Drosophila melanogaster: one gene and its partners. The protein of the gene in region 4 binds, or shares a complex with, the protein of the main gene of each other region. Each region holds a gene or a part of one and is shown on either strand. Other genes may lie near its edges.

The links.
Region 1: MED21 (region 4) and MED16 share a complex: the UniProt entries of both Drosophila melanogaster proteins name them as parts of the mediator complex.
Region 2: MED21 (region 4) and MED18 share a complex: the UniProt entries of both Drosophila melanogaster proteins name them as parts of the mediator complex.
Region 3: MED21 (region 4) and MED19 share a complex: the UniProt entries of both Drosophila melanogaster proteins name them as parts of the mediator complex.

Annotation. Positions count from the first base shown.
Region 1 is NT_033778.4:22,177,415-22,186,392, reverse strand, and holds MED16 (mediator complex subunit 16), read right to left. Parts: upstream 3,256-8,978; 5' UTR 3,183-3,255; coding exon 726-3,182; 3' UTR 501-725; downstream 1-500. Other genes in the region: Vps35 (vacuolar protein sorting 35), read right to left, coding at 73-132; CG11275 (uncharacterized protein), read right to left, coding at 3,864-5,117; CG11170 (uncharacterized protein), read left to right, coding at 7,906-8,952. UniProt on the Drosophila melanogaster protein: Component of the Mediator complex, a coactivator involved in the regulated transcription of nearly all RNA polymerase II-dependent genes.
Region 2 is NC_004354.4:1,862,824-1,869,753, reverse strand, and holds MED18 (mediator complex subunit 18), read right to left. Parts: upstream 3,846-6,930; 5' UTR 3,741-3,845; coding exon 3,616-3,740; intron 3,569-3,615; coding exon of another isoform or gene 3,546-3,568; coding exon 3,259-3,545; intron 3,192-3,258; coding exon 2,950-3,191; 3' UTR 2,867-2,949; downstream 1-2,866. Other genes in the region: CG14803 (uncharacterized protein), read right to left, coding at 1-456, 512-831; Pex5 (peroxin 5), read left to right, coding at 830-967, 1,040-2,746; Gcna (germ cell nuclear acidic peptidase), read left to right, coding at 4,018-5,584, 5,647-5,985, 6,049-6,727, 6,794-6,930. UniProt on the Drosophila melanogaster protein: Component of the Mediator complex, a coactivator involved in the regulated transcription of nearly all RNA polymerase II-dependent genes.
Region 3 is NT_037436.4:17,841,575-17,850,198, reverse strand, and holds MED19 (mediator complex subunit 19), read left to right. Parts: upstream 1-3,697; 5' UTR 3,698-4,007; coding exon 4,008-4,445; intron 4,446-5,304; coding exon 5,305-5,419; intron 5,420-5,484; coding exon 5,485-5,945; 3' UTR 5,946-6,474; downstream 6,475-8,624. Other genes in the region: TrpRS-m (Tryptophanyl-tRNA synthetase, mitochondrial), read right to left, coding at 1-38, 101-319; CG7430 (uncharacterized protein), read right to left, coding at 1,054-1,119, 1,183-2,061, 2,125-2,652, 2,961-3,002; CG5567 (uncharacterized protein), read left to right, coding at 6,783-6,924, 7,642-8,492. UniProt on the Drosophila melanogaster protein: Component of the Mediator complex, a coactivator involved in the regulated transcription of nearly all RNA polymerase II-dependent genes.
Region 4 is NT_037436.4:25,111,895-25,119,153, forward strand, and holds MED21 (mediator complex subunit 21), read right to left. Parts: upstream 4,053-7,259; 5' UTR 3,935-4,052; exon of another isoform or gene 3,831-3,934; 5' UTR 3,810-3,830; coding exon 3,768-3,809; intron 3,712-3,767; coding exon 3,325-3,711; 3' UTR 3,030-3,324; downstream 1-3,029. Other genes in the region: Set1 (SET domain containing 1), read left to right, coding at 1-1,677, 2,140-2,773, 2,830-3,003. UniProt on the Drosophila melanogaster protein: Component of the Mediator complex, a coactivator involved in the regulated transcription of nearly all RNA polymerase II-dependent genes.

The DNA of each region.
Region 1 (8,978 bases), on a different chromosome or scaffold from region 4:
CAAATTGAAGATAAGTGGATTAACGATTACACATATCCAAGATTCGTAATCTGGGATTGGCGGAGTATTTACCCGGACGTTGGCGGCACTGGGAATCTGGCCGCCGTACGAGGAGGAGCTCCAGGGATACATGGACGTGGGATTTGGACCGGGGGGGCGTTGCTTCTCACCACAGGCAGCCCTCTTTTGACGTCGACAGGGTGGGCACTCAGCACTCGGTTAAGCCTGGACCTGGGGCACTCGGTTCTCTAGGAATTTCGACTTCTGGCGACTACAGGTTGCACCTCGATGCACTTACCATTACTGCAGCGTTAGGGCGAAGTGAAATAAGCCAATTATTCTGAAAATATCTATTTGCAGAGGAGATATCGATTGCCGACAGCCGACAGACACATTGGACGTCCTGATATCGATTGACATGCTAGTGATGCAAGTTCTTCGATATGTTGTTGTTGTTAATATCAAACCGTTAGCAAATACACCAACCACAATTCATAGATAGAGTTAAAAAATATATTTTATTCAAATAAATTTAGTTTTGAAATAGTGAAGTATGGTGGTGACTTCTCTGTGGCTTAAGTTTTTTGAACGAGCACGTCGTGCAAAGAAGAAATATATTTAGTATATTAAATTTCTTGATTTCACTAAAATTGCTGGCAATCATGTACTTTTATTTGAAGCTTAAATCATACTTAATAACTAAGGTCATTGCTCACATAGATTTACTAGTGAACCTGCTTCCAAAAGCCCCCACAGTGGCAGTGCAGCCACTTACTAAACCACGCCTTGAGGGCCGACGTCTTGGCCACTTTGCTGGCGTTATTCACGAACACGAATCCGCAGCGGGCGCATCTCCGAATGTGGCTGGGTCGGGCGCCCAGTTGGAGATTGCTCACGCCATCCTTCACAGAGCTGGCGAAGACCACCTCCTCCGTCTCCATGTCCTGCAAGCAAGTTGGCTCCTCCATGGAGGTGAACTGCAGCTGTCCCGACTTTACGGCCGCGAATCCTTGGGCACTCAGCAGCGTGGTGGGGTTGAACTTGGTGGGCTGGGGAATTAGGAGCTGCTTGGAAAGCAGGCTGCACTCGTCCAGCAGCATTTCGTCCGGTTCTGCAGGATTCTGGGCCAGGCGAGTAAGCAAACGAAACAAGATCACTAGCACATCGATGTTGTCCATCGTCTTGGTGTAGACGGGCAGGCACTGGGTGTTTAACAGGCCCCAAATGCGGATCATAACCAGCAGCTCGCGCAGACTGCTGATGGCCACGATGTCTCGGCTGATATCGTAGCTAGGCCGCTTTCCGGAGAGCTTGGTCTTCATTACCTCCTCGGGCAGACGATGCAGCATGTTGAGTGCCAGGTCGGTGACCCACTGAATCAGTTGCTGTAGACTTTGCAGCATCACCGGCTCCACTGTAAAGTCCTTGGCGTCCAGGTTCAGCATCACGGTGTCCACATCCGGAATGGATTCGGCCAGCTTGATGGCCAAGTTATCGGCAGGTCCTTTATCCTGGAAACCCAGATCAGACGGTCGCAGGAGGCTCTTGAATGTGGTGGATATTGCGTGTAGGATAATGAGATTGTCAAACTCCTGCTGCTGCATGCGGCATATGTTGGACTTGAGGGCCAAAAAATTAGCATAATAAAAGTGCCGCACAAAGGAAGGTTGCCGCGTAAAGTTGTCGGTTAGCTTCTCCACCAGAGCCTCCAGGTTGCCTAGATTAAGGAGTAGCACATCGCTGGCATCGCAACCTGTAACGATGCAATATTCCAGAAGTAGCAAACCAGATCCTCCTTGCTTCGGCAGAGGTGCCTGCATGGCGTAAAGTTGTGCATGGCTATCAAAGATTAGGAGAATTTGGCTGCTAGGTGTCAAGTCGCCGCTAACGAACTTTACTGCTCCACTGGCGTCAGATAACCTATCAAACTGGGTGTGATTAAGCTGCTTCATCGAGTTGGGCTCCAGCACCTGGACGCTGTTGTCCTGCAGAATGGCGTACACTTGGCAAGAGTCCGGCGTTGATACCGATAGTCGTGTAACGCTGATATCCGCCAAGGATGCATTTAGTTGCACTTTGCCCACCTGCTCCCAGCTTTCCGATTGCACGAACTCATTTGGCTTGTTGTTGGCACCTCCTCCACCCTGGAGAAGGGCGTGGACACTTTGGTGACGGCGTGTCAATGTCCATTGCTCCAGTTGGCTGCCAGCACCATCTGGACAAGCGTAGGCTATAAAAATCACATCCTCGTTGGCTATTCGCGTCCATTTTAGGTGACTGATCCGCCTCCCGTCAAGAGGACCCAGAAATATGCTGGTCTGGGACTCGGATTTGATGGCCAAGTGCTGCTCCAGACCCAGTTCGCCCTCCAATGAAAGCGAGACCTTAAAGCATTGCACCAACTGTTGCTGCCAGCCACAGCTGAAAGCGATATTAAGGGCTCCCGATGGACTTGGCGTCATGCTGCAGTGTTCGATGAAGCTGCGCGATATGCCGATGCTGTGGAGCGCGGGTGTCAACTCGACGACCTCGTGGGCAGGACCATCAGCTCCTGCGGCGGATGTCTTTTGGATTGCGGGGAGACTGAAGGCGGCCAGCAGGCCTGAGGAAGTGAGTAGCACGCATCCCTCGCTGGCCACTCCGCCAAATCCGCTGAGAGTGGGCCTCTGCTGCTCCACCCGCTCGAACTTCTCCGCATAGTAGGTGTGATCCTTCTTCAGCGCATTGAAGATCACTCCTTTGCCATTCTGAAAGAACTGTGCTTCTATAATGTCCTCGCTGGGCACGGTGGCGTAATACTGCAGCACCCATAGGTTAATTGACTGGTTCCTCGGCTGCCAGATCTCGACGCGACCGCCGACGTATCCAAGCAGCAGTTGCTCCCCATTGGGACTCCACTGGAGGACGCTGATAAGCGATTTGGAGGAGCACACCTTATAGTATTCCCACGGCGTCACGATGTCGCACACGTACACATGGCTGTTGCTCGCGCCTACGGCCAAACCCGCTCCCGGCAAGGATCCATCGCCGGCATCTCCTCCGTGGGAAGCCGGAAATATGGCGCTCTGGAGGGCGCTAAACGCAACGATGTTCCGTGCGGAGACTGAGCAGAGGACCTTCTTGTGCGGAAAAACGCTGTCCTTGCTGAACTCCTTGCCCTCCACTTTGTACAAAATCGTCATTTTTGCAGCGTAAACAAAAACCAAAGCGGACTATTATTGTTTTGCACCCGGCGTCTGCCAACACTACTCTGTGAAGAACTTTACAGCACTGTTTCGCGGGTGTTTAGCGCTTTTCCACTGCATTTTTGATTCCATTGTTACTGTAAAATGTTTGGTTTTTATGTTTAGATTTAAGATAGTGCTCATTAATATTTTAATTCTGAACAGCAAATAAAGCTTTTACAGCGCAGCAGCTTTAAATCATTAATCATTTAAACAAAAATTAAGTTATTAAATAATAGCCAGTTTCTCACTGTTAATTATTTTACGGTCGCCCCAATTTAAGCAAGAATTATTATGACCAGTTGGCCACACTGTCCCTCGTTCAATTTCGCTTTGTTTACATCTGGTGATTATATTATAGTTTATTGTTTTACCGATTTTTTTTTTTTAGTGGCCGCAACAACAGGTGAGATAAGTTTCCGTATTCGCAGCCAGGACGCCGTTCCCCGATCGAGTTCGATTCGTTCGCCAAACAAAAACGGCTGCAAACCGGCTTTTTATATTTATCAGCAGACGTCTTGTGTTTGAAGCGATATTACTCACAGTTTATTGAACTCTGAGGCAGCGTACATTAACTTAGGGCAATAAATACATACACGTCTTACGGACTAACTAATTATGATATCGCGGCTGAAGTGGCTACACCAGGTTGGCATAGCGCAGTCCCTTGACGAGACTTCCGCTGAAGCTGTCCTCGTCAGTGAACCGAATTCCGTCCGCCTGGCAGGACTGCAGGCTGCACGGATACTCGGCGCCGTAAGCACTGCTGTCCCAGCGGATCTGCAGCTCATAGGTCAGCTCCGGATTCAGCACACAGGCCTCTTCGCGTCGCCAGCCAAGATGCAGGTTGCAGTTGTACTTGGTATTCTGGCTCTGGACAACGTGACTCCATACGGGCGACGTGGCCGGACCCTCGCTTTCAGCGGGCACCTCGCAAAGGTCCAGCCGCAGCGATTCGCGGTACTCCAGCTGCTGGACGTGACCCAATAGGTTGGGAGTCAGCCTGCTGTTCAGGACCAAGCCCATCAAGGAGATAAATCTAGAGCACTTTAGACGCAAGCGAAACAGCGGAGTTTCTGCATCCACTGTAAAGGGCCTGCAGGCCTTGTAATAGCAGCGCTCCACCAAAACCACCGGAGTTAGGGCAGGTGATTCCAAATCACTAGCACCCGAAGCCGCAGGCCAGTCGCTTGTTTTGCCACCCAAGTCGTGCACTACTAAGTCGGCATCGCTGGGACCCAGACCCAACTGCTCGCACTCCTGTCGTGTCCACTCATAAACATACCAGATGAGTAACTTGTGCGGTTCCTTGCACGCCGCTATTATGGCCTTCACACACTCCTTGGACACGTGCACATAGTGCTCCTTAAGGTGGCTCATATACTGTCCATTATTAACACAGCATCGCATGAAAAAGGTCATGCAGACCTCCAGCAACCCGTCGAGGCCCATGCAAACACTTAGCTCTAGAGCGGGCAAGATATTGGCAAATCGCAGCTTGCGGGTGATAACCATCAGCGTGTCGGCGATCAGCTCCTCCAGCAGATACTTCTCAGCGGCGTAGTACAGCTCAATGCAGGCCACCAGCTCCAGGCCATTGTAGTCAACGACGCCCGTGTAGATGTACTCCACCAGCACCTTGAAGATGGCAGAGCTTATGTCGTGGATTTCGATTTCCGGCTCGGGCTCGTTGTTTTGCATGGGACCAAAGAACATTGCCTCGAAAACGGGACTGGCGGAGCTCAGGATGAGCTTGTGGCATTTCACTTGCTCCTCGCACACGTGGAACACGCAATCTGTGTACTTGGCTCCACGGAGCAGCTGCCCGTATCGCCTACCCAGACCGCTGCTCACACTGCCCGGCTCTTTGCGATCCACCGCCGAGATGCTCATCTGCGAAAGGGGCAGAGAAAGGTGGTAGATATTAATGAGCCATTCGAAAACCTGTTTCCAATTTGCCCGTGTCATAGGCGGCCATCAATCATTCGAAGTATAATAGAAACTATTCAGGCGCGGGCGAATAGAAAGCGATACGAGATGTAAAATCAAAAGAAATAGCTAAAGTTTTGTTAGTGCGCAAACTAGTGATTTCGGTTGAAATGAAAAAATAGATGTTTGGCCAAAACAGGTCTTTGCTGTGTTTAATACGTTCTTGGTAATTCTTAATGTTTATTCAGTTAGTAACTCTTTTTAGTTCGAGCTAAAAATAACTGAAAGAGTCGTAACACTTAAGAAAAAATCAAATTTCACGCTTCCAATTTCGCTTGCTATTTTATGGCTATTAATTAAAAGGGCGTGTGCCACAAAGCGAAAAGTTTAAATGTCCGATAACGCAATCCCCTTGAAAAATAATATGTAGTCAAGGAGGTTTGAGTGCCTGCAGTCAACGTGACGTAATTCGATTTGTATATTATCACTTACGCGACATGCATCAGATTTCCTTGGTCATGGCCAAGAATGCAAATATATAAACACATTTGTATATATATATATATATATGCGATCGCACACTTGACAGGCTTTTGTTTATCAATAAGCCAAAATAATACTACGACGCGACTGTTTACCAGCCAGCTGGTTGGTTGGTTAGTTGCTTGGTTATTCATATATTGCCGGCTTGGGTTTGCTATTTGTTTTCCCAGCGGGTACTATATGTATATAACCGGTTTAAAGTGTTTGTACAGATCTCAGTTGGACAAGTGGGGCTCAGGCTAACGCGACTTATATGGGGGCCCTCGAAATCAGCGATGAGCACATGTCGGCGTTATCTAATGTGTAATTTATGGGTAGCTAGCACGGTGGTTTATGTGCCCTCCTCCAATTACTGCTAACTGACAAGCAAAATAACTCTCAATAATATATACACACATGTAGAACTTGGATATGGGCTGCTTTCAAACAATATGTGGCCCGAAAATAAGCTGAGTGCTAATTCCCTGACTCTGAAAATTTCGAACTGAGCAAATTTGATTGCAAAGTCAATCAATATTCTGGACTTCTGCTGCGCACTTTGTTGACTCGCCTCAAATCGCGATCTGCTCTGTTCTCAGTTGCGTAAAGTTAGGCTAGCCCAGGTGGTGAAGGTTTCACGTGCGACCTTAGGGCTAATTTATGGCTTTTTAGAACATTGGAATAGTTTACGAGCTAAGTGGACATTTCCAAGAAGAACACACACACCTTTTGGCACTGTGACAAATTCCTTTTCAACCAAGCACACGCGAGAATCGTAACAAAAGCAATTTGTGTATGTGAAAATCGAGTTGGGGGAAATTTAAAAGTGAATTTCACGCGCCCTCACGGTGAGGCTAATTGAGTGATCGCCGCGTCGTCGTCTTCTTCGTCTGAACTTGACCGATATCGCGTCTTTATGCGCCAGGCCAGACCAGACTACCCAGCTGTTCCAAGAGTTCGGATAACTTGAGCGAGAACCAGAATAGCGACAACCGTCGAGCGCAACGCGCCACCTTCAACTGATCTTACTCGGTTTGGGGAAACGTTCTCCAAGCGATTTCGATTTCAGGTCTCTCCTCCTCTGCTGCGTCTCCCAATCTCTCAGTGCGTTCTCAGCGATCTTCGGTCTTTTTTCGCACGAATACATTTGGTAGACGATTTCATCGAGTTTCCTCTTATCCCGAAAGGTTTAAATATCGTTCTGACGAACACTTTCAGCCAACTCATACATGCAGTTCCAGATGCGTTTCCCCGAAATTAGTCGCTGGGACTTGAACACATCCAGGTAGTTGAGACCGACCAAGCCCAATTCCCGAATTCGCTGGGCGAGCAGGAAGTTGAAAAAGGCGTTTGTGGAGCCCAACTGTTCCAGTTCGTTGAGTTGGAGTTTTCGTATGGTGCTGCGGCTAAATCTTACACGCGATTTTCTTTTGATAGTCTGAGGCACTGGCGAAGTCGTGGGCAATGGTGCTGAATCTTTAGCCGAGTCATTATGCTCCTCGTCGTCGCCAAAGAATGAGCCACAGAGCAAGTCCATTCTGGGCACACTTAATTTTGAAGTACAGGGCAAGGCGAGATGGAGTGCGTCTTGGAGGATGCGACTGGTATCGCCATAATGGCTACTCTCCCACCTCTGCAGAGATTACAAATTAAGCGTCTGATTCGCTTCTTGCTCCCAGCGTGATGGCCAACCTTGAACCCATTGAATTGGCTCTTCTTCAGAACCAAAGTTATTTCTGTAAGTCCGTCCCCCCGACGCCATACTCTTCGGACCTTGTGGGATAACCATTTCGGCATGAGCCCAGAAGCTGGTGTGATAAAAGCGATAGTGGTATCATAATCTAATCAGCTGTCATCATGACTAAATTAAAGATCTATAACTTAGACGTGCTTAAAAAATATAATAGAATAAATGGAAGCATTTGGTATTGCTTTTAGGAACTAGTAAAAAGGGAAATTCCATACTTAAAATACATACAGCTTAATAGCAAATTAAACTAAATGTAGCGAAAGGGTATAGACGCTTCGTTAAGCGGTCATAACCAGCTGCCTCTTTGGCTCGGTGCTTAGGTTCACTTTTGGCGTGTAGCTGCCAAACAGGTAATGTGGCCAGTGGACTGGAGGCTGGGCCCTCACGCACATTTCTTTGGATACACACACGTGTGGCTTCTTCTGTTGTTTGGCAAGCCCCTTCATTCGTTTCTCTTCCGTCTCTTTGCAGCTCCCTGTGATGCACCTGTCACACGGCCAACTGAAAGTGGTGCTCATTTTGGCCCTGCTGCAGGAGCTGCAGGTGAAGCCGCAGCGAGAGGTGTTCCAGGAACTTTTCGAGAAGGATCTGCGCTTGTGTCCAGACTGTTTCGTTGGACAGAGTGAGCCGTGCGGGGAAATCTTCCAGAAAATTGCAGAGCCCTCGGATTGGAGTAGACTTGTGAAAGCCATTTCGTTGCTCGTTGATCGCCGAGCGATTTACTTTCTAAGGCTAAAAGACCGGGATCAGGAAGTCCAGCTGGTGGCCAAAAGAAAAATCATTGATGCACAGAGTAATCAGATAAAAAATGTGAAAAAAGATTTCTATGAACTAGAGGAGCGACCTGGTGGTTTTCATCTCTGCCGAACTCTGGCAAGGGAACCCCGCTTTGTTTCGTACTTGGAGCAGCGTGGACATGCTGCCGCCAGTGTGTGGTTCTACATGATGTACTACGTTAGTCCGCTGCTTATGCAGGAACTGCATCTGCAGGGATTTCCAGTGCCTACCACCTACGCCTCCTGCGGACTAACACATTTTCAATCCAATGCAGGACGTACTTTAGCTCATTACGTCGATGCTGAAGAAGGTTTGCGTGTGGAGCTGGCTCTCCAGTTGATCCAGCTCTCCCTCAAGCTGACTTTTGGATTCGCGGACTTTCGCATTATCTTAACCGATTTCACGGCCGATAATTTGGCTTACGACGAAGACACCAAGAAGGTGTACCTCATTGATTTGGACTCCGTGGTCCTGGTGGACGCTTCGTTCGCAGCAGGACATGCCGAAAAGTACGAGCCGCTGACCGGCGAGGGATTCACATTTGATGTCTCTGCATTCTGCTCCGGCCATCAGCTGGATGCCAATATCTACCAGGCGTGCCTTTTGCTAAGGGATTACTTGCTTAAGAATTTGGACAACGAAAAGCTGCAGCTGCTCCTGGAGCAGTGTGTAGCATGCCAAGATGACTTCTGTGATATGCGTTTCCAACATGCTTACGACCTAATAAAAGTGCTGGAAAGCAATAATTAAAGCCAATCGTTGGAGATCCACTAGTA
Region 2 (6,930 bases), on a different chromosome or scaffold from region 4:
CGACACATGAACGGCGAGGAATGGATGAGCTCCGAGCGATGTTTGCTGCGGTAGTGATGTCCAGCACAAACGATCAGATCGTCGAGTGTGCGCTCCAGCTGCCCTAGGAACGCTTGATCATTCCCAGAGGCGTACAGTATATGCAGGTCCAGAAAACGCCACTCCAGTACGCCGTGATACAGGTGATACGCCGGCGCCTGGCAGTCGTTTCCCTTGTTGTGCTCCGCAAAATACAAAACCTTCCAGGTATCCGCATCCAGCTGATCGTTGAGCAATTGTCGAAACCCATCAAGAAAATGTGAAGGCAGCAGCTCATTGCCTCGTAGGAGCAGCATCAGATGGTAGAAGTGTGTGACCTGCTGGCGCACTCTATACCAACCAGAGTTCATAGAGGCGGCCGTGGCCTGCAGGTGTTGCTGGCCCATCACGACGGTTAACAGCTTCTGCACATTCTTACTGAGAATGGAAGAGTTGTACTTGTTGGCAGCTGCCAGGGGAGCTCTAAACTCACCAGGCCTCGCCGTACAGGTAGTTTCTTACCGCGCCAACCGCTAATTGAGCCGGAGCAAAGTCAAAACAGAGATAATCCAGGCGAGAGCGGGGCGGATCCAATTGGGCGTAGCCATTCCCCAGAAAGCCTCCCTCGCACAGTTGGCTCTTCAGAGTGTCTCGGCCACTGCAGTTGAACTCGGGCAAGTGTAGACCGTCGACTAGGTCCTCTTCGCTATCGTCCACGTCTATTTGCGCGCTCAGGGTTTCCTGCTTCTGTGTCGCCTGTATGAAGGTAGCCAGGATCTCCTCGTCATCCGACTGAAAAAGGTCGTAGTCCATGGTGCAGTCGGGGATTTGGCGTTCGAAACCAATTCTCTGGCGGATAAGATTTTGCGCGGCGATATATTTTATTATTATTAGAGCGCTGTGCAACACTGTCACAAAGCCGATAGCTTCGATAACGGCCGATAAACAGGTAATCTTTGTGACATTTGGACTTTTGTTTTGGACCTGATTTGGCCCCTTTTCTTATCGTTGGTTGCCCCAGTTACGTAGCATCTCCACTTCGAACACCATGTCTTTCCGCCCATTGGTCGAGGGCGACTGCGGTGGAGTTAATCCTCTCATGCAACTGGGCGGACAGTTCACCCGCGATGTTGCCCACAAGGATGAGGGCTATGTGCAGCGACACTTCGAGCGCGCTGCTCGTCCCGAGGACCAGTTGATCAACGAGTTCCTGGGACAGGTCACTGCCCCACCGCAGTCATTTCAGATGGACACTCTGCTCCAGGAGATGCGGGACATAAATATTCACGGAAATCCGCAGCAGCAGATGCACTCTCAGCAGGCGGAGCAGTGGGGACAGGACTTTGCCCGCGGACTGGCACCCGCCCTGCCCAACAAGATGATCCACATGCAGGCACAGCAGCAGGACCTGCAGCATGCCCAGGAGTTCTTCGACGAGCCCCTGATCAGTAGCCAGAACTTTCGGTCCCTGCCGCCATTGCGTCAGCCTTTGATGCCCATTGCGGCAGGACAGCAACAGGACCCCTTCTTTGACTCCGCCATGGAAACTATAATCACAGATCATCTGCCACAGGCGCCACAGGGGGAATCGCTGGACGACTGGATCAGCGACTACCAGCGCAGCACCGAACAAAAAGAGCAAACCGCCGCCAACTTCAACGAAAAGTTCTGGGAGCGGCTGCAAGACGAGTGGCAGAAGCTGGCCGACGAGAACGAGCATCCGTGGCTGTCGGAGTACAACGACAATATGGACGCTTATAAGGAGTACGAGTTCGCCGAGGGCAACCCCATGTCTGATGTGGAGAACCCGTTTGAAAAGGGTAAGGAGTACCTGTCCAAAGGGGATATACCCAGCGCAGTTCTATGTTTCGAGGTGGCGGCCAAAAAGCAACCGGAGCGCGCTGAGGTCTGGCAGTTGCTGGGCACTTCGCAGACAGAGAACGAAATGGATCCCCAGGCCATTGCGGCACTTAAGCGGGCTTACGACTTGCAACCGGACAACCAACAGGTCCTGATGGCCCTGGCCGCGTGCTACACCAACGAGGGCCTGCAGAACAACGCCGTGCGCATGCTGTGCAACTGGCTGACAGTGCATCCCAAGTATCAGCACCTGGTCGCAGCCCATCCGGAGCTGCAGGCCGAGGGCACTTCGTTGGCTTCGTCGCTGATTGGTCCGAGTAAGCTGCGCGATCTGCAGCAGATCTACTTGGAAGCCGTTCGACAGCACCCTTCGGAGGTGGATGCCGAAGTCCAGGATGCCCTCGGCGTGCTCTACAATCTATCTGGGGAGTTCGACAAGGCGGTGGACTGCTACCAGTCCGCTCTGCAGGTGGATCCCCAAAATGCGAAGACATGGAACCGATTGGGGGCCAGTTTGGCCAACGGCTCGCGCTCCGTGGAGGCGGTGGAGGCTTATCAGCAGGCGCTGCAGCTCCAACCGGGCTTCATCCGTGTGCGTTACAACGTGGGCGTATGTTGCATGAACCTTAAGGCCTACAAGGAAGCTGTGGAGCACTTACTCACAGCGCTTACCATGCAGGCTCACACTAACGCCGCCCGAGAGCTGCCCAATGCGGCGATGGCGGCTACCTTTAGAGGACAGAACCAGATGTCCGAGTCTATTTGGAGTACGCTGAAGATGGTCATTTCGCTGATGGGCCGCAGCGATCTCCAGAGTTATGTGAGCGATCGCAATCTGGCGGCTCTTAATGAGGCCTTTAAGGATTAACCGCCCCGCAGCTTCTTTATCACTGCTTTGGGAAAGTCCGTTGTTGTCGTGTCATGTGGGTGTGTAAGGTTGAATTTGAGATATTTTTTACTCTGGCAGTGTAATCATTCCCTCTCGGTTCTTTTCTGTAAATTTGTATATTTTCTTACATTTAAGAAATTAAATAACTGTTGGATAAATGCGATGTGCACTTTTATTGTAAACTACGGCATGCCGCCCAGTCGCTTGTAGTCGATCTTCTCGAGCTGCACGAGTGGCTTTAGTTGCTCGGCAAACACGCGCATTTCCTCGCCGACATTCTCCTGCCCCGTTGGCGCCACCACAGAGAGTTCCACTATGTAGCTTTGTGAGATTGGCTCGTTGGCCATGTCCTGCTGCTTGCCGGGCACAATCTTAATGAGCTTGGAGACGGTAATCTTCATGCGCCCCTTGCGGAACATATAGCCTGAAATAAGTCCATTTGTCACTATCCATTTTGGCAACCCAAGCGTAATATATTTCATGATTCCAACCCTTTGCTATGTACTCGAACTCCAGGCGGAAGCCCATTTCCGTGAGGAATTCCAAAATGCCATTGGTGCAGGCGCAGTCCATGCAGCTGCGTACCAATGTAGGCCGGCGCAGATCCACCTCGGGGTTTCCTAGGTAGCGCATCTGAAAGGGTGCATCGCGACCAAGGGCTCGGCGCACGCGAAGAAGCAGCGGCTGGTTGGCATTGGGCTGGCGAAGGCTCATACACACTTCCAGATCGTGAAACGGCTCCGGCGAGGTGTCCACATTGTCGCAGAGTCCCTTTAGTCTGATAGTGGGTAGGCGGTTAGACTGTTAGTCGGGTGCAAACGATTCAAATCTGACACTGGGTCTCCCACCTGTGCATCAAGTGTTCCACGGCGGAATCCAGGATAGATCCCTGCAGCAAGTACTCCAGGTTGGGCAAGAAGCGGTTGTTCATCGCATGGGAGAGCGACTCACGGGCCGACGACACAATCGCCATTGGCTAATTTTGTAAGTTTGGGTGTACTATGGTATTAAATTAACTGAGCAGTAGTTTGGTTTTGTTTTTAGTTTCATTTCCTTGGAAGAATTCGTTTTACTAGTGATGCCGTTTTAGACATTTTCGAACAGCACTAGCTAGATGCCGGAAAATCAAATAGTCTATCGATAACGATGAACGTAAATCGACGCGCACAGAATAATAGCAAATACGAATTTTGCTTAAAGCATATTCATAGAGATTGATTTACCGTAAATGCCCCAACGACGCCCCCAAAATGGCGGATCATAAGTATAGGCTCTTCAATGCGGTCGACCCGAGCAAAGTAAAAGTTCCCTTCAATCAAAAGTTCGCCAATTTGACGCTATCCTCCCACAAAAAACGACTCCAGGTGTCCCATGCGCCGAAGGATCATCCAGAAAAGAGGAACGACCAGAAAACAAGGAAACTGCCAGCAGCTCCCATGCGCGCCAATGTGGGAGCACCCGCTCCGTCCTGCGGGGCAAATACGGAGGACACAGAACTCGACAATTCCGACTACATGGAAGCCTTGCAGCTGAGCGCCGACGGCTGCAGCCAGGATGTGGCAAATGTGGGCGATGTAGAGCTCCTGTCCGCTGGCATCAGCAATTTGAAAGTGCAGCCCATAAATGAGGAGCACTCGGCCAAGCCGGAGATCTCCATTTGCATTTCCTCCACTACGGAAGAGAACGTATCCGGCGACGACGACGCCGCCTCCTGTATCACCATATCCGATTCTAGCGAGGATGAGCAAGAACCCTTGCCTCCCGATAGCATGGCTGTGAGTGAACGGGAAATTGTGGCTAATCCCGGCCAGGAAGACATACCACAGCCCATGCTCACAACCGAAAAAGTGCAGCGCATCGAGGCTTTTCTGCGCGATGTGTCCATAGAGCGACGCGAGATGGAGTGGAATGGCCCATTGACACCGCCCCCCCTCTCTTCCAGCCAGCGGCAATCCCGTCTAGCCGATGCGGACACCGAATCCATGTCGCCCACCGACGAGGACTGGCAGCCACCCACTACCAGGCCGATTTACAACAGCACACAACTGGCGAACAACGATACGCAGGTGAATACCATCTGCTCAGCAGATGCCACTCGATTGGATAGCAGCAAGCGGTTGGCAGACGACGAAACGGAGGCGAATACTCTCGGATCGGAGGAGCTTGAGCCCACATACAGCAGCAAGCGTTTAGCAGACAATGACACCGAGCCCAACACCCTGTGTTCTGATAGTTCTGAGACCCATAACTCGACGATTCACAACAATGAGCCCGTTCCTGATGAATCCATTGAAATACCGGAAACCAGCAGCGAGGGCGAGCTCACGCCGCAAAAGGCCAGCTCTGGTTCCTCCACATCGGGAGGGGACGAACACGGTTCTATCCAGGTCAGCAGTATTAATATTTCAGCGAAGATCAACATTAAAATCAGCATTCCCACTATGGAGTCAAGTTCGGCGGAAGACGACGATGAGCATTACTCTTCGCCCAGGGCCACTAAGTCCCTGCCCAGCTCGGAGGAGGTGCAGCACCAAGAGCACCAGCAGCAGGACCCTCAGAGCCACCAAAAATCCATGCTGTCTGTGGATGATGCATCCGAGGATGAGCAGTTTCTCACCCACGCAGAAAAGCTGCTCAATCAATTGTACGGCAAGTCTTGGCAGACACCAGATGTGATCCGCACTCTAAAGCGCTCCAGTGGTAGTGGCGGTAAACAGGCTCCTCTGAGGCCCAGGAATATTCAAGCAACAGCGGTAACCACCGCTAAAAAAAAGAAGCCCAAGCCAGATGAAAGTGTTCTCGGGGACTTCAGCATATGTAAGAATTTATCCATGCTTTTTATCCTCCAACCGTTGAGTCACACGCGCTTTAATCCCCAGTTACTAAACCTCTGCGCACAAATCAGACTCCTTTAAACTCGACTCGTCTGCCTCCGATGCGCGCTGTCCAAACGGAGAGACGTCCGCGGACTCAAAAGCCGTTGACACGCCCACGCACCAATCATATAGACGAGGATCGCTGGCGCAAGCTCATAGATTCCGACAGCGGGACAGACGCCTCCGACGACGAGGATGCAGATGCCACTTTTAGCGAAAGCGGTAGTGATAGCGACAGTGATAAGGACAAGGAGAACAAGCAAAAGAGAGGCGACCTTACCTATCTCGACTTGAGCAAAGACGAGGTGGAGGTGATCAGCAATCCCGACCAGGACTCGCCGTGTAAGAGTTGATATTAGTATTTTAAATGGCTGACTTAAATGTTTTAGTAACTCATTATTCTAGCGCCAAAATGTCACCGTCGCCTGGACGACATACTGCGATCATGTCGCGCCAGCGTTAAGGCTAAACTTCCTGCCACTCCTGTGCAGCAGCCAAACATTCGTCGCCAACTTTTTACCCCTAACGCAGGATTCGAGAACGATAACCAAGCTAAGGAGATAGTAAACAGGGCGTTGGACCTGGACATGCTGGATGAACTGGAGAGCGACTACCTACCCGGGACTCCAGTCCACAGGAGAGTGCAGGAGGTAAAGAAGAAGCTTGGCATTGGGCAGCAAGGTCAGACAACGCCCCACGAGAGCCCAATTCTCAAGTTGCTTACGCCAAAAACGGCTCCGCCTAAAGGCACTGCTCCGCCCAAAACATCTGCACCGCCAAAAGTTTCTACCCCCCCAAAATCCACTAAGCAGATTCCAAAACCTAGGAAGCAGAAGGATCTCTCACCCGTTGCGAGCGGCGGCAAGTGCGGCTTTCTGAAATCCCTGGAGGGACAAGTGAGCCGCGATAGGGCGGACAACGAGGCCTTCTTCTATCGGGAAAACTTCGCAAGAAATAAGGATCAGCTGGCCCAGCATCTTTACAAGATGTATAACGCCCAGGTGTTCAACAACGAGCTGGATGTGCCCATCACCTGGTCCAAATTGCTGCGCAACACTGCCGGCCGGTGCATGAACAAGCGCAAGTGGGTGATTCTTATAGAGACAACCAGATATCCTCCTTGAATTCGATAAATATATATTGTTTGCAGACTTAACCAGCGTAGCAGCGTGGTGGAACTGAGCGTCAAAGTGCTGACTACCGCGGACCGCCTGCGTTGCACCTTGATACACGAACTCTGCCATGCTGCGGCCTGGGTATTCAATGGCGAGGGTGGACACGGACGGG
Region 3 (8,624 bases), 7.3 Mb from region 4:
ATGCCACTAAAGACTTTCCTCGGCCAGCGGGTGTTATGCTGGGTTGGGGTAATATATTAGAGTCTTGTGTTATGTAAACTATTTCTACGAATGCACTTACTTCTTCGTGGCCACTGTTAACGGAATTACCATGGGGGTGTACGTGCTGCTTGTTTCCACCGGTTACCTGGGCCGTCGCAGAGGGCGTTCCAGCCGTCCTACTAGCCAATCCCGGCAAGAAACTCCTCGCCTGAATGCAACGGCGCTGGGAATACACAGCTGTCTGTCCCTTTTTGGCCACCTTAGACAGACTGCGATGGAGCTTGCCAAATCGGAACATTGCAATGAGCTATGAATTTTGTACCCCAAAACTTTTGAGTAAAAAATATTGGGAATAATGCGGTGCTAAATGTGTGAACAAAGCCCAAAAATAAATTATTTGTTCGAAACGGCCGAAATTTTGACACTGAGCGTTCGCGAGCGTTGCCAGATGGCTTTTGAAAAGCCGGTACGACAGCTGTGAACAGTGATACTCAGCTTGGCGAGTTTTCCGCTAAATCGTGGATTAATATTAATATTCAAATTTAATAAAGAATGTTATTTATTATCATTTTTTTTATAACTCTCTATTTAAGGGTATTACCTATTTACATCTTACTTGTGAACGTATGGCTTGAAATTTAATGTAATTGTTTGATGGTAAATAAATTGTAGAGACCAATTGAACAATTTTTTTTTTTTAACAGGACTCCTATTATTTTTATGCTTATAGCTTTATTAGTGGTACACCAGAAAATCTAACGACATTGAAAAAGAATTAATCTGCAGAACTGCAGTTTCGAGTTTTCAAACAGTGTTGTATTTATTCTAGCTTAATACACATATTACATTGCAATTAACGCCTGGCGCCATTACCATTATTTATATTTTCCACTTTTCTGTTCCTACATTGAGAGTTACAAATATGCGGAGACTGTCGTTTCGGCCGTCAGGATAATTTTTCGAATAGGGGTTATTCAAAGATTTCAAACGCGGTGCAAAATTCTTCACTATCTGGCAGAGATTGGGAAGTGCTTAGAAGTTGATGGGTTTGCCAAAGGCAGCTGCCACATTGGCCTCACGCAGGGCCTCGGAACATGTCTGAAAGAAGGAATTGTGCGCATTAGGTTCGAAAGGTTCAAATCAGATTAGGTAATCACTTACTGGATGCGCATGGCAAACGCGGGCAACGTCCTCGGCAGCGGCTCCGTACTCCATGGCCAGCACAGCCTCGTTAATGAGCTCGCCGGCACCAGGTCCGATAATATGGGTTCCCAGGATCTTATCGGTGGCCTGGTCGGCCAGAACCTTGACGAAACCGTCGGTGTCGTTGTTGGTCTTGGCACGAGAGTTGGCCAGGAAGGGGAACTTGCCCACCTTGTAGGCAACACCCTCCTGCTTCAGTTGCTCCTCGCTCTTGCCAACCCACGCGACCTCGGGATGCGTGTAGACTACACTGGGCACGCAGTTGTAGTCGATGTGCACGTGGCCGCCGTTGATGCCCTCAATGGTGATGAGGCCCTCATCTTCAGCCTTGTGCGCCAACATGGGTCCGTGGATGCAGTCGCCGATGGCGTAAATATTGGGCACCACAGTTTGGAAAGTGGCGTTGACGGGGATCCTGCCGCGGTCATCCTTAACAATGCCCACGGCCTCCAGACCCAAACCTTCGGTGTAGGGACGACGTCCAACACTGACCAGCAGGGCGTCGCACTGGATCTCCTCTTTCTCGCCAGACTTGGCGTTCTCCACGGACACGGTGACGTTGTCGCCGCTGCGAGAGGCAGCCGTCACCTTGGTGCCCAGCTTGAACTTAAGACCCTGCTTGGTGAGCACCTTTTGGAACGTCTTGGAGACTTCGTTATCGATGCCCACGCCGCCGATCGTATCCATGAACTCAATGGCAGTGACCTCAGCGCCCAGACGCGACCATACCGAACCCAGCTCCAGGCCAATGACACCGGCGCCGATGACAACCAGATGCTTGGGCACCTTGGCCAGCTTCAGGGCGCCAGTGCTGCTCACAATAACTTCCTCGTCGATCTGTGAAGGTTTTTGAATGGCATGCATTAGTAATCAAGCGCGCTGTAGAGGTTTTGCACTTACTTCAATGCCAGGGAAGGGGGTAACCTCCGAGCCGGTGGCGATGAGGATGTTCTTGGTCTTGACAGTCTCCGTGGAGCCGTCGGATTTCTTAACCTCCACCTCGTTGGGATTGACGATGGTGCCGAAGCCCGTCAGCTGTGTGACCTTGTTCTTCTTGAAAAGCATGGCAATGCCACCGGTCAAAGCCTTCACGGCGTTGGACTTTTGACCCATAAGCTTCTCCAGATCCAGGCTAACGCTGCCGCAGCTAATACCACGTTTCTCCAGATCACCGGAGTGGGCCATGTGGTAGTAGTGGGAGTTGTTCAGCAGCGCCTTTGAGGGAATGCAGCCAACATTCAGGCAGGTGCCGCCCAGAGTTGCCTCCTTCTCCACGCTGACCGTCTTCATGCCCATCTGGGCGGCCTTGATGGCGGCGACATAGCCACCGGGTCCGGAGCCAATCACCACGATGTCCGCCTCGTGGGTGCTGGAGTAGCAGCGGGCGTTGAGGGCACCCAGAATGGCGGCATTGGTGCGCAGAGGAGTCTGTAAAGACGGCAGATTACTACATGTTGTGGCACCTTATCATTTATCACGCCAGTCGCACGCATTTCGCACTAATCTTCGGCCGACTATCAGCTGATAATTGGCCTAATTAGCGACCTTGAAAACGGGGCCAAACAAATCCCCAAACGCCAGTGAATCACCCACCGGGATCATATGAGCACTGCAGGTGATCCAAGTGCATTTTCCAGCCTTTTCCTGCCCATTTCTCGACCCCCTCGGTGAGGTTAGATTGCATAACTTGAGGGGCGATGGCGTTTGGGGAATCGGTTATGTCGCCCGATCCTTACCTTGGCTACTGCCGAAACAACATGACGGAGCGTGAATTGCATGGCTGGTGCGGGCGAGTTATGAGGATAATCGTTATTTAACTACAAACACAACACTAGTTTGATGTGTGTTTTTCCGACTGTTTTTCGTGTTGTGGGGCTCGGAGCGGTCGCAGGGCTGGCGATGTGCATTCGATAGTGGTCATATGATGGCCGCGATGCTATCGATTGTTTTGGTGATTTTCCACTCTGTTGGAATTTGAAATTCTAAAACATTTTCGTATGAAAAAGATGTGTATAAAAATATTAGCTTGATGATCGTTCAAAATACGATATGTCCGTCACTCAATTGCTAGTTTATACAATATTCACTTTATGGGTCATTTGTTGTAGCAAAAGCTACCTAAAAACAAGCCAACTATACGTGTAAGCCGGCTTTTATAGTTTTGGCACCCATTAATTAATGTTTTTGTACGTATAAAATAAACTGTAATAAATAAACTGTAAAATAACTGTTTTAAAAATATATAACTCAACGTACATACGATACATATATAATAAGAGTTCCAAAGTAATATTAACTTTATTATATCTATAGGTAATTAAAAATGTATTATACGATGAATATTCGATAGTTTGCCCTACAGTACAACCCTGTGTGGTATTCCCCATCTGGGATATTTCCCACAACACTTTTGGTATTTTCACGTCGCGTTCATCTCGCGTTTTCGTTGAAGCCTCAGTATTTCGCTAGCTGTCGCAATGCGGTCACACTGGTTCGCGGACACAACAAGATGGCGAGACTTGCCCCCGAAATCTGTTAGAAAACGCCACAAGAGCAAATAATTAGTTCAGTTTTCGACCAGAAAAGAGTCAGCCGAAGTGCCGGGCAGACGCGGCGCATTTTGCAGAGTGTGAGCTTGGCCAGCGTTGCCCGAGAGCCGCGACAGGCGACACCTTCTGCTGGCCTTGCCTTGTTGCTGTGCCCCTGTGTGCGTGAGCGTGTGCGGTGCGGTGCGATTGTGTGCGTGGGTTGCCAAGAGTGAAGAGAATCGCTGAGTTTCCAAGATGATGAGCAACTACGGCAACATGATGGACTCACCGAAGTCATCGCCCCACGGCGGCGGCCGATCACCCGTGGTGGCCCGTCAAGACTCATCCGGCACCCTGAAAACGACCATTTCGCTGGGCAAGACGCCAACGATCATTCACACGGGGCCATTTTACTCCATGAAGGAACCACCCGCCAAGGCAGAACTTACCGGCGACAAGGATCTCATGACCGAGTACGGACTGCACCACACACTCACCAAGTTCAAGGAGAAGAAGTTCAAGGAGTCGCTGGCCTCGTTTCTGCAGAACATCCCCGGCATTAACGACCTCATCACGCATCCCGTGGAGAATAGCACGCTGCGGAGCGTGATCGAAAAGCCGCCCATTGGTGGAAAGGAGCTTCTTCCGCTGACTCCCGTGCAGCTGGCCGGATTCCGCTTGCATCCCGGACCGGTTGGTTTTTCCAATATGCTTTTAATTCGCTTGCTCAGTTTGAAAAATGACGAATCTTTAGATACGGCACATTGAACATCTTAGAATACATTTAGACGCTATTCAATGCTTTGCGTCTCTATACATTTGCATGCATTAATTTCGCTTTTTAAAATTTGCATATGAAATTTGGATTTAAGTGTCCTTGCACAGACTGATCTACTATAAAGTGTTATTTGGTCGCACCTTTTCTGTCACTTATTTCTATAATCACCGTAGTATTTTAGAGTTGTAATTCATTTTCCTTATGTTCAACAACAAATTTGAAACACAAATATTTTAGTCATTAATCACAAAAATTACTTAAATTAACAAGAGTGTAAATGTTGGTTTTCCCTTTAAACCTCTTTTGAACAGTGTATATTAAGTCAGTAGTTCGCAACGCAGTGATCTATATGAACAGCTGAGTCGATAAGGCCATGTCCGCCTGCCCGTTTTCTTTCAGTTTTAAATTTTTGTTGCAAGTAGTGCATAAATCAGAACGCGCCAGTTTAGGCCACTAATTCATATTGCTGCCATATGGTTTAATATTATGATATTCAAAAAAAAAAAAAAAACTAACCTTCCTTGTTGACGGATTGTCCTTCCTTTCTTGTTATTGAAATATTGGCATTTAATATTATTGAGAGTTTTCTTTCACCCTATATGCAATCTAATAATAATAATAATTCATCTTAAAAGGTTTCGTGAAATATTTTTTACATGTCATATATTTCAAACAATGGATAAATCGTTACTAGAACAAATTGCATAAAATATATTATTTTTTTCCTCTGCACTTTCACATTGCTAATTTATCCGATTCTGGTGCTCCTTTCAGCTGCCGGAACAGTATCGTACCACATATGTCACACCTGCGCGTAAACACAAAAACAAACACAAAAAGCAAAAACACAAAGACGGGGTGACCACGGGACAGGAATCCACGCTGCTCGGTAAGCAATCTGCTGAATTATCGAGCAACTCGATCACACATAATCCAATGATAACCATCTTGCAGACTCGGCCGGCCTGGAGACTTACGAGAAAAAGCACAAGAAGCAGAAACGCCATGAGGACGACAAGGAGCGCAAGAAGCGCAAAAAGGAGAAAAAGCGTAAAAAGAAAAACCAGAGCCCCGAACCGGGCGTGGGCTTGCTGCCCGGAGGAGCGAGCTTGGGCGGAGCAGCGGGTGTAATGGGAGCCACTAGTCTGGGATCGCTGGGAGGAGGACCTGGAGGACCCGGGCTGTCCAGCCTTAGTGCCAGTATGGGACCTGGCGTTGTGGGGAACATGAATAGCTTCTCCTCATCGATGCAGATGCAGCAGCAACAGCAGATGCCCATGCAGCAACAGCAGATGTCAAGTGGCGGTCTGCTGGGATCTGTGCTGGGCACTAGTGGCGGTCCAGGTGGCGGCGGCGGAGGAGGAGGTGGTGGCGGGGGCGGCGTCGGTGGGAGTCTGCTTATGTCGCAGTTTTAGGCAGGATCCTTTAGCAAAATAGACTTGGCTCATTACCTCTCATCAGCAGACGCACCCCAAATGGCAACATAAAAAAAACGCAGAGGGCCTCGGTCCTCTACATGCAATTTTCTCGATATCGTTTCGTGTCCTAGTTATTAATTTATGATTATTGTAAATGTAAAATAGTTTATTTCTGTAATTAGCCAACAATTTTTCGTTCGTTTTCGCGCTAGCTTAATGAGATTTATTTAAACGCAAGTTATGGTACAAAACGCAAGAACGTTTTCGCTCTCGATTCCAGCTCTTCCCTCCACACAAACACACCCCTCGCCACGCCGCCACAAAAACGCTGCTTTGCAACCTCTTTAATTTGCTTACCAACCTTGTAACGTGTGTAGGGTCAGTATTTCAATTAAATTTCTGCAATGGTTTGTTCTTCCAGCAAGTTTATAAACACAAAAGAAAGCTGAGATTCAACAAAATAAAAATGCCTGTACTATAAGTAATTAATTTTAGTGATTAGGCACATAAAACAATAAACAAGCATAAAAATGATCAAAGTGTGTGTTTACAATAGTTTGGGGAGCTTAGTTCATTTTTCGAATATAAGCATTTGTTGCACAGAAGTTCTGCTTCCAAGGAGCCCTTAAATTCAAATTTGGCGCCAAACACTTGTTAGCACTCTGTTGACTTTAACATGGCGCATTAACAGCTACGCTGAAATCTGACAGATAGTAACATAGCCTTAACAGGCGCCAACAGCTGCTTTAATTCTCAGGGAGTTTCTCGCAATCGAGAGTCAATTAATAAATTAAAAGTGATGTGTATAAGATAGTCGTCGCTGCAAAGCCATAGATGAGTTGTAACTTCGCCAGATTTTCGCGACAGGCAGCTATCAACATGTACAAGCAGTCGTGCACCAATCTCCTGGAATTATCCTCCGCCAAGGTGACCGAGTGGCTAGCAGGCTTCGACAGTGTAATAACCGACTGCGATGGTAAGTCGGTGGTGGGGATGAGATACTACTAACTCGCACCCACCCAGGATTCCCCCCAGGAAGTTGCGTTACATAAAGATATGTGTATACCACATTCTGCCCAAATACGTCAGCAGCCAATAGTTTCTGTATTGTGGCTGCGTCGTTTATTTCAATGTCAAAGAGTGAAGTGCGTGATATGGCGGGAAGTCGACTTTCGGATGCCCTCATATCTTGTTAATCATCGTTATATTTAGTAAAGAGTAAAGCAGTAAAGAGCCGTTTGATAAATTCCCTAATGCTCATAGTGATGAGCCCTAAGTTTATTAATATTAGACAATCTTATCAATTCAAGGAAATCGTTATTATATACGCAATATCAAAAGTTGTGTTCAACCCCATTATTTATTAATTTTATGCAATAATGCCTTCTTTAATCATAACAGCTTTTATTTCTTTTCGTTTATGTATCTTTGCGAAGTTACCAATTTACTTAATTGGAATTAATTTCAAACTGTCCTCTTTGCCTTTGAATGATTAATTTATCAATTTTAGAAATAAATTACCAACAATATGAGTATACTTTTTGTAGATATTGAGAAATCAATAACGCCCTTTATAAAACTAGCAATGGCATTAATAAAACTAACAACTACAAAGTGAGAACCTATTTAGCACCGTTCTTTTTTTAATTTTAAGAAAATTCTTCTACAATATTAATCCATTTTTTCACATCAGGTGTCCTTTGGATCTATGGCCAGGCCCTGGAGGGCTCTGTGGATGTGATGAACCAGTTGAAGGGTATGGGAAAGTCGATCTACTTTTGCACTAACAACTCGACGAAGACCCGGTCGGAACTTCTCAAGAAAGGCGTCGAACTGGGCTTTCATATCAAGGAGAATGGCATTATATCAACGGCCCATGCCACAGCTGCGTACCTGAAACGACGGAACTTCAGCAAGCGGGTATTTGTGATCGGAAGCGAGGGAATCACCAAGGAACTGGACGCCGTGGGCATTCAGCACACTGAGGTGGGCCCGGAACCCATGAAGGGATCGCTGGCCGAGTTCATGGCACAGCATTTAAAACTGGACACGGACATCGGAGCCGTGGTCGTTGGCTTCGACGAACACTTCAGTTTTCCCAAGATGATGAAGGCCGCTTCCTACCTAAACGACCCGGAGTGTCTGTTCGTGGCTACCAATACGGATGAGCGTTTCCCCATGCCCAATATGATAGTACCAGGCAGCGGGAGCTTCGTGCGGGCCATTCAAACCTGTGCGGAGCGGGATCCTGTAGTGATCGGGAAGCCGAATCCTGCCATTTGTGAGTCTCTGGTCACGGAGAAGAAGATCGATCCATCGAGAACTCTGATGATCGGAGATCGAGCCAATACGGACATACTTCTTGGGTTCAATTGCGGCTTCCAGACCCTGCTTGTAGGTTCCGGAATCCATCAGCTGAAGGACGTGGAGCGTTGGAAGTTGAGCCAGGATCCCGAGGAGAAGAAGCTCATACCAGACGTGTACCTGCCCAAGTTGGGAGATCTGTTGCCGTCGATCGTGAACAGCCTGACGGACTTGAAATGAATCAGTAATCAGTAAATAGTACGGACATGTGTTTGTATAGATTTTACATTTAACTTCAATAGACAGGAAAGATTATTAATACTTAACGCAAATTTATAGTGCAATTTATACCACAGAACAAAGAATATTTAA
Region 4 (7,259 bases):
CTCCAGTATAGGCTTACGGGCAGCAATGCCCAAGCTGCCATCGTTTCGGCGTATAAGAAAACATCCTAGCCCTATACCAACCAAAAGAAATTTTTTGGAAAGAGATTTAAGTGACCAAGAGGAAATGGTGCAACGCTCCGACTCTGATAAGGAGGATTCTAATGTGGAAATCTCCGATACTGCACGTTCTAAAATTAAAGGTCCAGTTCCAATTCAAGAGTCAGACAGTAAATCGCATACATCTGGTCTTAATTCAAAAAGAAAGGGAAGTGCTTCAAGTTTTTTTTCATCTTCGTCTTCTTCCACTTCTAGTGAAGCTGAGTATGAAGCCATTGATTGTGTAGAAAAGGCTAGGACTAGTGAGGAAGATAGTCCTCGAGGATATGGTCAAAGAAATCTGAATCAACGAACAACAACTATTAGAAACAGAAATCTAGTGGGTACAATGGATGTTATAAATGTGAGAAATTTATGTTCGGGCTCAAATGAATTCAAAAAAGAGAACGTAACAAAGCGCACAAAAAAGAATATTTATTCCGATACAGATGAAGATAATGATAGAACGTTGTTTCCCGCTTTAAAAGAAAAAAATATTTCAACAATTTTATCTGATCTCGAAGAAATAAGTAAAGATAGTTGCATTGGATTGGATGAAAACGGGATTGAACCCACAATATTAAGAAAGATTCCAAACACGCCAAAACTGAATGAAGAGTGTAGGCGCTCTCTTACCCCCGTTCCACCTCCGGGTTACAATGAGGAAGAAATTAAAAAGAAGGTGGATTGTAAACAAAAGCCGTCATTTGAATACGATAGAATTTACAGCGACTCCGAGGAGGAGAAAGAATATCAGGAAAGAAGGAAAAGAAATACTGAGTACATGGCTCAAATGGAACGAGAATTTTTAGAGGAACAAGAAAAAAGGATTGAAAAGTCATTGGATAAAAACCTACAGTCGCCTAATAACATTGTAAAAAACAATAACTCCCCAAGAAATAAAAATGACGAAACTAGAAAAACAGCTATTTCCCAAACAAGATCATGTTTTGAAAGTGCAAGTAAAGTTGACACTACTCTAGTCAATATAATAAGTGTTGAAAACGATATAAACGAATTTGGCCCTCATGAAGAGGGGGATGTTCTTACAAACGGTTGTAACAAAATGTATACAAATTCAAAGGGTAAAACCAAAAGAACTCAATCGCCAGTGTATTCTGAGGGCGGTTCCAGCCAAGCTTCTCAGGCGAGTCAGGTTGCGCTAGAGCATTGTTATTCGTTGCCGCCACACTCAGTTTCTTTGGGCGATTATCCATCTGGTAAGGTGAATGAAACTAAAAACATTTTAAAACGAGAAGCAGAGAACATTGCAATTGTTAGCCAAATGACGAGGACAGGTCCCGGCCGACCTCGCAAGGACCCAATATGTATTCAAAAGAAAAAGAGAGATTTGGCCCCCAGAATGTCAAATGTAAAGTCTAAAATGACACCAAACGGAGATGAATGGCCCGATTTGGCACACAAAAATGTACATTTTGTTCCGTGTGATATGTATAAAACTCGTGATCAGAATGAAGAAATGGTTATTTTGTACACTTTTTTAACAAAAGGCATTGATGCCGAAGATATAAACTTTATAAAAATGAGTTATTTGGACCATTTGCATAAGGAACCGTACGCGTGAGTGTTATTAGTTATGTTATTATATATTATTATACCCGTCACTCATAGAGTAAAAGGGTATACTAGATTCTTCGAAGGCACCGTCTCCGACCATACAAAGTATATATATTTTTGATCAGGATAGTGATGTCCGTCTGTCCATACGAACGTCGAGATCTCAGGAATTATAAAAGCTGAAAGGTTGAGATTCAGCGAACAGAATCTAGAGACTAAGACGCGGCGCAAGTTTGTTGACCCATGTTGCCACGCCCACTCTAACGCCCTAAAGCCGTCAAACCGGTCCACACTTTTGAACAATTTCTAGATTTTTTCTCATTTTATTCCCCAATATCAATATCCAGAAAAATTATGAAATATCGCGTTCGCATTCACACTAGCTGAGTAACGGGTATTTGATAGTCGGTTAACTCGACTAAATCATTCTCTCTTGTTTTTATTTTATTGACATTTGTTTTCTAGTATGTTTTTAAATAATACTCACTGGGTGGATCACTGCACAACTGACCGAGCTTTTTGGCCACCGCCATCAAAAAAGCGAAGAAAAGACGACGAACTGATCCGACATAAGACTGGATGTGCGCGAACTGAAGGATTTTACAAATTAGATGTTCGAGAAAAGGCTAAGCATAAGTACCATTATGCTAAAGCCAATACAGAAGATTCCTTTAATGAAGATCGGAGCGATGAACCTACAGCACTTACAAATCATCATCACAATAAATTAATTTCTAAAATGCAAGGAATTTCCCGCGAAGCTCGCTCAAACCAGAGAAGACTTTTAACAGCCTTTGGTTCTATGGGTGAGTCTGAGCTTTTAAAATTTAATCAGCTAAAGTTTCGGAAGAAACAGCTTAAGTTTGCAAAATCTGCGATACATGATTGGGGATTATTTGCAATGGAGCCCATAGCTGCAGACGAAATGGTTATTGAATATGTTGGTCAGATGATTCGACCTGTAGTTGCTGATCTAAGAGAAACAAAGTATGAAGCAATTGGGATTGGGAGTTCCTATTTGTTTCGAATTGACATGGAAACTATAATTGACGCAACTAAATGTGGAAACTTAGCTCGGTTTATAAATCACAGTTGCAATGTAAGTAAGCTGGATGTTCTGACATTATGTTACCAACATAAAATTTTGTTTTTCAGCCGAATTGCTACGCTAAGGTTATAACTATTGAATCTGAAAAGAAGATAGTAATATATTCAAAGCAACCCATTGGTATCAACGAGGAAATAACTTACGACTATAAATTTCCACTAGAAGACGAAAAAATACCTTGTCTATGCGGCGCCCAAGGATGTCGGGGTACACTTAACTAATACTTATTTACAACAATGAATTAAATATTTTAGAGCACATAAATTTAATTTGTTCATAAAATCCAAAGTGGGGTACGTGTAAGTATATATAGTTTTTTTTATAACTTAAAACTATAATTAATTATTATAAAAATTATATCAACGAGGTCAGAGGTGCTGTTCAAAATGGTTTAGGTCTAAATTAAGCTAAAATACTTTACTTATAAAAACAATATGTATATACTAAAACCCATTTGATCTGTAAACACGAACGAAAATGCAATAAATACATTATCTTAAATTTAAAAATAATTTGCCTTTATACAAAAATGTGTTAAGCAGCTATTGTAAATCATGTTTGAGTGTTATTTGCATATCTAATTGAGCCTGAGCAATGCATTCCAAAGAATACTGCATTTTTTCTAGCAAAAGTTCGCCTTTTTGCACTACTTCCTCTAGGTCTCTTGCAGTTCCCTGGTTTTCGATCTCGAGCCTCTTAAGGCTAGAATTTTGGAGTTCAATGGAGCTGTCTTCATTTGGAAGAGACTCGATTAAGGTGTCGATGTCTTTAGCACATCGTGCAATTAACTGTGCAAATAATTGGGCATAGTCTTCTTGCGGCGGACATGGGATTGGCGTTTGGGGTCCAATGCGTTCAAAATTAACAAATTTACTTGGAAGGGACGTTTGTTGAATTACACCAATAGCATTGCAGAAGTGCTCCGCTTGCTGCAATGATTATTTTACATAAAAAACTGGTTATTTCTTAATACGAAGTCACTTACCTGATTAACGGTGTCTTGCAATTGTGTAAGCCGATCCGCCATTTTACTACAGAGTTAATAATTCTGAAAAACAAAAAATTATATGGAATTAAGTTTGATTAGCCAGTTCAAATTTTGATTAACATTTTTAATATCAACATAACATAATCAACATAATATCAACATACAATGACCGTTGGTGATTTTTATAATATATAAGCATTTATTTATCGATTGATTTTATGTCTTATTTACAGATACCTCACAGCAGCGACTATTCTCTTAAAAAAAGAAATGCTATTAATATGAGTTCCACACTAAAACGTGATTTCTTTCAATGAGACGAATTATTCTTGTTCACACTGTGCCATAATAATGTCTTCATTCCAACGATATAAACTACCATAAGATTGTCGGAAACAGTGGAATCTCCATAATATATGACCACACGTTGCACATCGATCCCTCTTGTCTTGTTCAAAATCATCACAATTTCGGTTATAACAAGGAAGCAGTTGGTCTCCAAGTAGTCTGCAACCTCTCTCACACAATCTTGGTATATCCTTGAGGAGGGTATATCGATTTCAGTTATAAGCTTGCAACGAAGTGAAAAAAGCATTTCAGTCCAATTAAGTGGGTATAAATATCAGTAAGAACAGCCGTACCCTTTTTCACGATAATTATTCTTTTAATTTTTAACATATCTAAATCGGTTCACCATATCTTAAAGATGTCATATGAAAAATTTTAAAGCTACCTCTCTTGTTTTTTAAAGGTTTTTAAAAGCAACAAAGATTTTATGATACGAACACTTTGTGCCTCCGATTAGTTTTCTTGTGAGGGGATTTGAATGGGTGGTCAGTTTTACTAGGTATTTTAATTTTCTTCTCAGTTATTATTTCGATAAATAATTTGATTTTTTTCTCTCTGTGTATGTCTTCGTTCCGAAGGTATCACGCTCTAGTCAGAATTCTCAGAATTGTTGGCTGTTCTCGCTGAATGGATGCCCCACAGGTCGGAGCCATAAGTCCAGATTGGTTTTAAGACGGAGTTGTATAGGAGAGCTTTGAACTCCACGCTAAGTGGAGAGCGAGCATGAGCCAGTGAAGGTTCCTTGCATCTTATTGCGACTTCAGTAGCTTATGTATGTTTTGGAACAATAGCTTGGCTAGTTTAAGCAAAAGTCCATCCAGAAACACTGTCAAATGCCTGCGCGACGTCTAGTAAAATGGCTGTGTAATATTCTCGATGCTCAAAAGCAGTACGAATTTCTGACGTGATTCGATTGGCCTGTTCGATGGTTCCATGTTTTTTCCATGACGAGGGCTTATTCCCAGGAGTAGCATTTTTTCAAATAAATTTTAGAGATAAGTTAGTTACTGTATCGGTCTATATGATGATGGCTGCGTTTTATCTTTTCCTGGCATTGGAATCATTACTATGGTAGATTTTTTCCATTTTTGAGGGAAGTATCCATGCTTGGCGATTGCGTTGAACAACAAGCACATGTGCAGAACATCACACTGGGAGTTCAATAAGGATTTTTTGAGTTATTAGGTCGAAGCCAAAATCGCTTCAGTTGCTTTTTGATAACCTTTGCTAATTCACATAATCTAAGTTTGCTTCTGCTAAAGGAGGGAGAATAATGACTTTATAGCAGGATTTGGTAGAAATAAAATTTGTAAGTGGTCAGCAACTGCTCTGGCTCTTTTCTCATCACTGTCTTTTCTCTACAAAAGGTTCTTAGTGCTGGTGGGCATACGTCACTTTGCACCCGAAACTAGAATATTTTCAACAGTGTCCGTTGACTTGTCTATATTTTCCTTAGCAGATAATGCCGGCGTTAGTTCTATGTGTGATCTGGGTCTGGGATTTTTCTTGGGTCTGCTGGTCAGTATGTATTGGATAGCGTGGTGGGCAGTAGACTGCGGCTAGAGTCATTGAACCATTGTTGAGTAGTTAGACTATGGACGTAGATTGAGGTGGTTTTTATGCGATTTCTGATTAGTATGCCAGTGCCTCCAAGAGCTTTACCATCTGAATGATTTGTGAGGTGCGTTTCTGATAGTAGCATTACTCCAGTGTTTTTTTCGGTAATGAACTGTGTGAGTTCTTGTGTATGAAGTGAATAGATATCCGTAGGGAAGCCAGCATGGGGATTTTGAAGATACAAGAAGTTGTATCAGGAAATTTTGCACGTTTTGATCGTTATGAAATATTTCATGCTTTTCTGTAGGGATAGCATCATAGCTTCAATGCCACTTTGTTCAGTTTGTTGCATATTTGTCAATTTATGTTCGGAATGAGCAGTTCTAGTCGGTGAGGCGGGGACTTCTAGTCCGGATTTTAAGGCGCTAGCGAAGAAAATTCCAAGAGTAGTGCTTGGGACAGTTAAGGGTGGTTGAAACATCGAATGCGGAGAGCAGAAATTGACTTTGTTGTATGTATTTGCTATACGTTAAACCACACAGCAGTATGCCTTGGTGTGGCCGTATTCTTGGCAATCGCCTTCTGCTTTTGTTTTGGTTCTTTTTTTACGTCCATTATTGTTGTTGCCAATGGTCGGTGTTGCAGAATTATTTACAGCTGGCACAGCGATTAGTTGGGCCGCTAACGAAGTTGTTGTTGTGGTAGCAGTGACAGTTTCTAGGGAGGTCACTGCACTTGTTATTGCAGTGTTACAGTTACCCGGAATGTTCGATTGTGGCTGTGTGGGGAGCGGTGTAGGAGAGGCGGTCTTTTCGCTCCGCGAGAGCAAAAGCTTGTTTTTCGAGTTAGTTGAAGGTAAGGGTGCTCGATCATCGAATTGCCCCGAAACGAAAGCAATGTATGCATGGTTGCGTTGTAAAGAGAGACGGCGCTCAACTTATGAAGGCATTATTGGCAGCTTGTGTTACCGCAATTGGCGATTCTAGTTTTAAGGCAGATGGTTCGTCAGTAAATAACTACTCGACTGACATTACTGCTGCCATTGCTTGCAATGTCGTTGAAAGTCAGTCGTGCCTAAACATTGACATTTTCAGCTGAAACATATTCCTAAATCTGACGCTCGCGGACCCAAAGTGTCATCGTTTTCTACCCATAGACTTAATGATTGGCGCTAGTCTCTTCTACGAACTGCTGTGCGTCGGTCAAGTCAATACCACATGCAATTCTAGTGTCTTTGGTCGCACCTACACCTTTGACTTGGAGTTCTGCTGTTTCCTCTGCAAATAAGTCGCTCTCCAATTATTCATCATATTCTTTAGTAATTTATGCATAAACAATACACGACAGCGCCACTCGGTCGGTTGGGCGGGAGGTGTGGCCGTGGGACCCGTGCAATTGATAAAAAAATAAATTATCGTTCGAGATCGCTGCATAGAAATCGTCTTTTCTTTGCAAATAGCTAATAGAAGAGCTTATTAGTTAAACAGTATTAGTTTTGTAAATTTCTAACGGTATTCCTAAAAACTTTTTGCCACGCCCACAAACCGCCAAAAACTGCCTCGCCCACACTTTTTAAAAATGTTT